Coturnix japonica: one gene and its partner. The protein of the gene in region 1 purifies or fractionates together with the protein of each later gene. This does not show direct contact. Links are inferred from orthologs where the notes say so. Each region holds a gene or a part of one and is shown on either strand. Other genes may lie near its edges.

Region 1 (3,805 bases):
GCTCTGTTGGGGAAATCAGGTTGCTAGGAAGAAAACAGTATCTGCTGGGACAGATGTAGGATCCTAAGATGCTCTTGGGCCTGTAAAATAAAGAGGATAATTAGACAGATTAGAGGGAAGGTAGGATTAAGGTTTTGAGGCTGGCTGCCTTTTACCTCAATACTACGTGATTTTTCTGCAGTTTGGAGCATTATCCATCAGCTTTACTCACAGCTTCTCACCAAAAACTTGCTGTTGTCCTTCAGCATGTGGTAGCACACTACCTACAGTGAGACATATGGATGTCTCATTGCTCTGCAGTTCATTGCTTAGCCACCCCACAGCTTCATCTTCACCAGGAAAGGCTGTCAGAGCAAAACTTGGAAGTAACAGAGCGGCTTAAAATACTGTTGTGCAGCACTTGAGCTCTGCCATTGCAATGCAGGGATCTGTGGAACTTGCTTCTGCACCTTTCTTCTGCCTTGTCCAAGTAGAGATGCTGTCTCTGTTGGGACAGAATGTGAGCTCAGTGAAATTCATTCACTGATCCAGGTGTTCATTTTTGTTCCCATCCATGTTTGTCACATGGCATGGAACAAACAGGAATTGTAGTGCACGTGGACTACTTGTTATCTTGGGCATAACTTTGAAGATAATGAGGTCTTTGGATAACTGTGCAATGATGAGAAGGGTCTTTGGTTTGATAGTAATCTGTGGTGCTAATGCAGCCTTGTTGCCATGCTGGAGTGTTTTTCCTGTCTCACTAGAAATCGAAGCAAGACATTGAAGATGAGGGACACGCAGCGTGTCAGAAGGATGGCATTGGTGGCAACGTCAAACTGTGCCGCCTGCAGCCGCTGCTGGAAGTGCCCATCCGAGAGGCTGAAGCGCAGCCCTTCGAGGTGCTCATGCAGTTTCTGTACACAGATAAAATAAAATACCCTCGCAAAGGTAGGGCAGCAGGATAAGCACTGACAGCAAACGTTTTTTTGCTATTGTTTGGTCCATTGCAAACTAGGGCTGCACTGAAAGGCCAAGAAAGCCAGTATCTATCATCTCTTCTAAATGCCCAGACAAGGGAGTGCCTCAAGAAGTCCATTAGATGCACACATTGAAGATCCCTGTGTTATTAAGCAGTTGGAGGCCAGGAGGTAATTGCCAGAGATCTCTCAGCTCCAGCACAGCAAATCTGACTCCTGGCCCTGGTACAGTGCTGTTGTGCTGTGAGATTGGCAGTGGGGCACCCAGAGGGAACTCCAGCTGGGGGAGGAAAGGGAGCTGAGGCTGCACAGCACAGGTGTTCAAATGGAGGTGCATCAGCTCTAACACTGGAATCTTTGCTTCAGCTTTGGTTTGAGATCTTTCTATTCTAGAAAAGATCATCTTCAGTAAAATATTAATTTGTATGCAGTTGTTCCAAAGCTTTCCCTGCAAAGCTTAATTAATGAGGATGAGGGAACCTCCTTACTGGCTTCTGCTGACATTACCAGACCCAGCTCTCAGCTGTTCCCCTAATCCTCGGTGTGTTCCTTGCAGGAAGGTTCAGACCAAAGGAGGATTATCACACCCAGCTTCTCCCTTTGTTGCAGCAGGTTGCCCTCCCCCCTGGCCTCCCCAGTTCTCCCCAGTGTTTACCTCTCTGCAGCTTTACCAGTCTGCTGGGATCCTCCCAAGCTCCCACCCTGACTTTGTGTATTCCTGTCTGCTCCTGGGTTCAGGGGGCATTGCCCTGGGGGATCCTCTGTGCTGAGCTAATGGCACTTGGCACGCCTATCAAATGGGATTTTCCTTATTAGACACTGGGAAGCCAAATAGCATGCAAGAAGGCTTTTCTCTGTCAAAATGTAGCTACAGCAGATGGTCAGAGATCCCCTGTGAGGAAAGCAAAGACTGGAGGGTTATTTCTGGAGGCGATGTCTCAATGGCCCCATTGCAGTGGTCAGCCCAGGCCCCACAGCCCCTCTGTGCTGTGTAACCTCAGCTTCTAGGCTGACCTCTGGTCTGTACGTGTCCCATAACTGTCTGCATGTGCTTGAAAAACATTGGCCCAGAAACTCATTCAAGGTGGCTCTTTTACACCTCCATTTTGAGAGATCACTTCTTTCTTATTTTCAGTATCCGCCCTTGGTTTAATCTGGGCAGCAGTGGAACTTTTTATTCTCCATAGACACACTCTTCCAATTGCTGCCCATCGCGCTGTTCTGAACGCTCGGGTTGAGTCAGAAGAAATGCTTGGAGAAAGTTTCTCCTTTTGTTCGGTGAACTCTGGTGCCATGGAAAAGGGCTTTTCTCTCTCGTGCTTTCAGGCCATGTGCAGGATGTGTTGCTCATTATGGATGTGTACAAACTAGCCTTAAACTTCAAACTCTCTCGCCTGGAACAGCTCTGCCTTCAGTATATTGAAGCATCTGTGGATCTGCAGAATGTGCTCATTGTGTGTGAAAATGCTAACAAGCTTCAGCTGGATCAGCTCAAGGTAATCGCATTTTGCATACAAAGTAACTGATAAGAAATTAAAGACAATTTTGATGTAATTAATGTTTTGCAAAAGCTTGTCAGCTTTGCAAATTCGGTTCTCCCCTATAATTACGGCTGCCTGAGTTTGTGTCGGTGTGGATTGTACTGCAGGAGCTTGTGAATATTATACAGGCTTTTTCAATGAGTGATAGTTTTGCATGTCTGTCCTGGAAGATAGAGAGGGCAGAGTGACTTTGTCTCTTCCCCATTTGACTCTCACTGTAGTGAGATGGAAGCAGTGCATTTTCTGGTCACGGGGTTTAATGCTGAGCCTGTTAATGTGTTCTTTCACCTGATCTGATGGAAAACCAAACTCAGTTCTTAGACCTTTGATCTGAAAATCAGTGTTGGCAGCTCTCTGTATGGTGGGACTCTGAGGCGCTTGCTGAAATGCAGAGCTGATACCCACAGCCTTCAGACCGTGCTCTTGCTGCTGTGATCCCACCAAGAGTTACCAGAGCCAGTTCTGCTTCCAGCTGCAGAGAAGCAGCTCTCCACCCAAGACCAGCAATACATGCAAAATCACACAGTGCTGACTGGGACAGCTTGTGCAGAACAGGCCAGAGAGCTGATGCTTACAGCCAGAGTGGGGTTATGCAAACCGGTGTGCATCGGCACTTCCTTGGGCACTGTGCACTGGATGTGGGCAAAGGAGAGGCATCCAGGAGCACAGCAGTCAGCAGCAGTTACGTGCATGCTGGCACAGCCCTTGGTGCGTAGGACTGTGGAGCATCTCAGCACTGATGGATGCATTGCCAATGACAGCAGGTCAGCAGGCTGCATGGCTGCCAGCAGGGCAACAGGGGCTCTTCCACAGTGCTCCACTCGGTCAGGATGCTCTTGGGTTGGCATCCTGGTTCTCAGTGCCCAGTGCTCCTTGTGGCTGAGTGCCATCTGCACGAGGCTGCTCTTCCTGGCATCCCAGGCTTTATTTAAAGCATGGTTTCCGATGGGTCCCACACAGATCCTTGTAGATAGCAGCTGAACTCACTGTGACACAAAATGGAAATTAGTAATTATTCCTTGGCCTAATTTTGGACTCACCTTATGGTGAGCTGGTACAGATTACATTTTTTTTGCTTATTTAAATATCCTGAGGGAAAGCCTTGGTTTGCACTGCCAAATGGGCTGCTTTTTTTTTGTCATTCCCTTCACCGTTCAGCATTAGGTCTGGTTCATTTGTTACCTTTCTCCCACGTGGATTTTTGTAGCAGATTTGGCACATGAGAGCCTGCAAGGTCTCTTTCAGACTGTTTGCAGCCCTGTCAGGAGAGGTTGGGCAAAGTCTACACCATTTCCTGGAAATCCT
Region 2 (4,482 bases), on another chromosome or scaffold:
CGATCCTTTTGCTTTAAGGCACCTCCTGTTGTAACTCCACGTTGTGTTCTCTTTGCAATGTGGTTTAACCCCACGACTTCTGCTTCCAGCCAAGGGATTTAGGGGGGGTGTTTGGCTCTTTGTGGGTCCATCCTGCTGCTGTCACACAGCTGCTCACCCACCTCCAGCAATCCCTGCCTCCTTCATGCAACTCATACGGGACCTGTGGCTCTTCCAAGCTTCTCTCCCACATCTTATAACTCACTTTGATTCCACCCGTTCTGTTTTAAACAAGAAGAGAGAGAGAAAAAGGCAGCGGGTTGGTTTGGCACAGAGCTGAGCCATTGCTTGATCTGAATGGTGTGCATTTATCTCTATGGACATGAAGCACAACGTTAATGGCAGGGCTGGGTGCTGCAGAGCTAATGGGGTGTGGGACAACAGCAGCAGCTCCTGGAACAGCAGCGATGGCTCCGGCCTATCAGTGCAGGGAGCGGCTGGCACCTTTTGTACAAACATTGACTTTTTCCTATGTCTTGTAAATAAATTCAGAACCATGCTTTCATTATAAATAAATGTATAAATGATGTATAAAAACACGCGCTGGTTTGGTGAGCTGCGCCTTTAAATGCCAGCAAGTCGGCGGGGGCGGGGCCAAGGAGGGGCGTGGTCATGTGGGGGGTGGGGCTTAAGTAAGGGAGTGGGGCTTAAAGGGGGCGGGGCTTAAGTAAGAATGGAGGTTTAAAGAGGGCGGGGCTTAATTAGTGGGCGGAGCTTAAAGGGGGCGGGGCTTACGGAAGAATTGGGGCTTAAGGGGGCGGGGCTTTAAGCAAAGAGTGGGGCTTAAAGGGGGCGGGGCTTAGCAAAGGGGTGGTGTTTAGAGGGGCGGGGCTTAAGCAAGGGGTGGGGCTTAAGGGGTGGACTTCAAGGGGGCGGGGCTTAAGTAAGGGCGTGGCTTAGCAAGGGGTGGTGTTTAAAAAGGCGGGTCTCAAGGGGTGGAGCTTAAAGGGGCCGGGGCTTAAGTAAGGGGGCGGGGCTTAGCAAGGGGGTGGTGTTTAGAGGAGCGGGTCTTAAAGGGGGCGGGGCTTAAGTAAGGGCGATGCTTAAGGGGGCGGGGCTTAAGTAAGGGGGCGTGGCCTAACAAGGGGTGTTGTTTGGAGGGGCGGGGCTTAACCAGGGGGTGGGGCTTAAGGGGGCGGGGCGTGAGTAAGGGATGGGATTAAAGGGGGAGGGGCTTAAGCAAGGGGTGGGGCTTAAACGGGGGCGGAGCTTAGGTAAGGGGGCGTGGCTTAGGGGTGGTGTTAAAGGGGGCGTGGGTTACGTAAAGAGGGGTCGTGGCTTTAAAAGGGCGTGGCTTAAGCAAGGGTATGGGCTCAAAGGGGGCGTGGTTTAATTAAGGGGCGTGGCCTAGCAAAGGGGTGTTGTTTAAAGGGAGCGTGTCTTAAGGGGCGTGGCTTAAAGGGGGCGTGGCTCAGTGAGGGGCGGTCTCCCGTTGGCGCGGCCCCGCCGCCATTTTGGGCTCGGCGGCTGCGCTCCGGGCCGGGCCTTGAGGCGGCGGCGGTGTCACGGAGCGGCCTGAGGTGAGCGGGGAGAGGAGCGGCGGGGCCTCATGAAGGGCTACCGGGCCTCACGAAGGGCTGCCGGGCCTCACGAGGGGCTGCTGGGCCTTACGAAGGGCTGCCGGGCCTTATAGAGGGCTGCCGGGCCTCACGAGGGGCTGCCGGGCCTCACGCTGTTTTCCTCCCGTTCAGGAGCTTTGGAGATGGACGCCGGAGCCCGGCCGGGCGGAGCGGGGCAGCCCCGGGAGTATAAACTGGTGATGTTGGGAGCCGGCGGCGTCGGGAAGAGCGGTGAGTGAGGAGCCGGGCGGAGCTCCGCGCTGTGCCGCCGTTGGGGCCGCGTTGGGCATCGTCTGACATTGTTTCTCTTCCATTGTTTCTCTCCATTGCAGCCATGACGATGCAGTTCATCAGTCACCGCTTTCCCGAGGATCACGACCCGACCATCGGTGAGAACAGCCCCCCCCGACCCGCTCAGCCCCCCGCGGTCGCGCTGCTGTGGGTCCGGTGCTTTGAAGTGGGGCTCCCTTTGTGTAACGTTCCCCCTTTGCGTGTGTGTCGGTGATGAATGAGTTTTGCAATGGCGTTCAGTTCACGTTTTGTTCTCCCCCGACGTGCTGCGGATCCAGAGGATGCCTATAAGATACGGATACGCATCGACGACGAACCTGCCAACCTGGATATATTGGATACAGCGGGACAGGTTGGTGAGCAGCATTGAGTGCATGGGAGGATACAGGGATAGAAAGAACCCCACAGCAATGTGCCTTTCTGTTCTTCTGAGTGGCCTTTAGAGCTGTCTGAATTCATCCTTATACCCACAGCATCGCTGTTGTTTAGGCAGCCCAGGCAGCACTTCATTCATGTGTCACTAACACAGCACACGAATGCAATGGAGATCTCATCTCACTGCCCGCACTCAGCACATGATGTGTATTGGCTGATAGTCTTTGGATTGGTTTGACTCCCTTCTTGTACCTAATTGAAATCTCCTCTTTTAGTTTGATATCTCTTCCCTCAGTCTCCTCACAGCAGGCTCTGCTAATGAGCCCGTCCCCTCCTTAATTACAGCCTCTTTAGTAATTGAAAGGCCGCTCTCAGCTCTCCATGCTGAGCAGCCCCAGCTCTCCCAGCCTGTCCTCTTAGGGTACGTATCATCCCTTGGGTCCTTCTACAGATACAAAATACTTCCTTATGTTTATTTCTTTACCAAGGGAAAGGTGGTGTTGATCCCGTAGAGTTTTGTCCTTTGTGTGACAGGATGAGGAGAGAAATGCTTCCAATTTTGAGCAAATCAAACAACGGTTGTGTTTGTGTCGCGCTCTGTTTGTAGGCAGAGTTCACGGCCATGAGGGACCAATACATGAGGGCTGGAGAGGGGTTTATCATCTGCTACTCCATCACAGATCGACGCAGCTTCCACGAAGTGCGTGAGTTCAAGCAGCTCATTTATCGTGTCCGACGCACCGACGACACCCCCGTGGTTCTGGTGGGGAACAAATCGGACCTGACGCAGCTGAGGCAGGTATGTGGCTCCCAAATAGACCTTCCCACCTGCTTCAGAACATGGTGATAGATCGTGTTCTTAATTCCTTTGGGGTTCACTCTGTAGTATGTTGAACATGAGAGCTGTATGAATTTAAACTGGAGTGCTGAATAGCTATAGCTATATATGCATATAGCATGTAACTACCATGGGAGTGAAATCTTCCAGTTGATGCTTTGAGTTTCAGCTGCTCTTGGGCTTTTCCTGTCTTTATTTCCTTCTTTTAATGGGGGTACGGCACTGCATAAACCCCTTGTAAGTATTACAGACCTAAGGATGCGAGTCTGCTAAGAAAGGAGGTGTAATAATGGGGGTAAGAATGAACAGAAAGGGAGCTTCAGCTTAAGGGAATGGTAACTCTTGTCTGTGGGAAACTGACAGACGTTCATTGTGGGCTGAGGGCTGCTCTCATCAGGCATCCAGGACTATATTGTGGGAAGGGAATACTCTCTGAAAGGCTTTTCTTGTTTGAATAACCAGAGCTTCTGTATCTGCTGAGTCTCCTATGGGTGGTTACGTTGCTTGATGGATGAAAGAGAAGAGGGTTTGTAAAGAAAGATGCAGACATGGGTGGAGGTGGGCAGTTCTGGAATGGGGAGGGTGCACACGCAGCTCTTAGCCGTGAACAAGAAGAGAGGAAGGAAGAACCTGCCTGGTTTGGGCTTTCTTGACAAGTATATGGGGTTTTTTTTTGCAGGTCTCCAAAGAAGAAGGTTCTGCATTGGCACGAGAATTCAACTGTCCTTTCTTTGAGACTTCGGCTGCGTATCGTTACTACATCGACGACGTGTTCCATGCTCTGGTGAGAGAAATCCGCAGGAAAGAGAAAGAAGCAGTGATGGCAATGGAGAAAAAATCCAAACCTAAAAGCAGCGTTTGGAAAAGATTGAAATCCCCGTTCAGGAGGAAGAAGGATTCGGTCACTTGAAGAGAACGAACTCCTCTGTAAGAGAAAACATGGGAGCAGCCACTCGTAACCAAAGCGGTTGAATGACAACATTTCAGCAGTAGGTTTAAAGACTGATGGGACTTGTGTGAGGGGGAGCATCACTCTTAGCCATTCTTTTTTGCTTCAAATGATATTCTCTCTTAGTTCTGGATATTTAACTCGAGACACGGTAACAATTTGACTTCTGTTTGTTGTCATTTTTAGACCGGATTCTCCAAATACTGCTTGTATGTTGGTTACAGATGCTGGTAGGTTTCTGACGCTGCACTTTTTGGTCGCTGCATTGAGTTGTTTTAAGAGGTAAAAAAAAACAAACAAGATGCTGAATTTCTACCCAACTTAATTCAATCCTGTTTCTCAGTTGTTTGCACAACAAAATGTTGCTGCATTCCCATCACCAGAGGAGGATTTTGTTGAGGTTGGATGGCAGTGAGGGGAGATTTGTGCTT

What was found.
Region 2: the proteins of LZTR1 (region 1) and RIT1 purify together in Homo sapiens (affinity purification with mass spectrometry; 3 studies listed by BioGRID and IntAct, counting the BioPlex papers as one, with this or other methods). This does not show direct contact. The link is inferred for Coturnix japonica from reciprocal best matches to the Homo sapiens genes LZTR1 and RIT1.

The regions. Positions count from the first base shown.
Region 1 is NC_029541.1:986,097-989,901, forward strand, and holds part of LZTR1 (leucine-zipper-like transcriptional regulator 1), read left to right. Parts: intron 1-746; coding exon 747-930; intron 931-2,285; coding exon 2,286-2,455; intron 2,456-3,805. UniProt on the Homo sapiens protein: Substrate-specific adapter of a BCR (BTB-CUL3-RBX1) E3 ubiquitin-protein ligase complex that mediates ubiquitination of Ras (K-Ras/KRAS, N-Ras/NRAS and H-Ras/HRAS).
Region 2 is NC_029540.1:1,802,580-1,807,061, reverse strand, and holds the start of RIT1 (GTP-binding protein Rit1), read left to right. Parts: upstream 1-1,428; 5' UTR 1,429-1,559; intron 1,560-1,730; 5' UTR 1,731-1,741; coding exon 1,742-1,829; intron 1,830-1,930; coding exon 1,931-1,987; intron 1,988-2,167; coding exon 2,168-2,241; intron 2,242-2,871; coding exon 2,872-3,063; intron 3,064-3,781; coding exon 3,782-4,012; 3' UTR 4,013-4,482.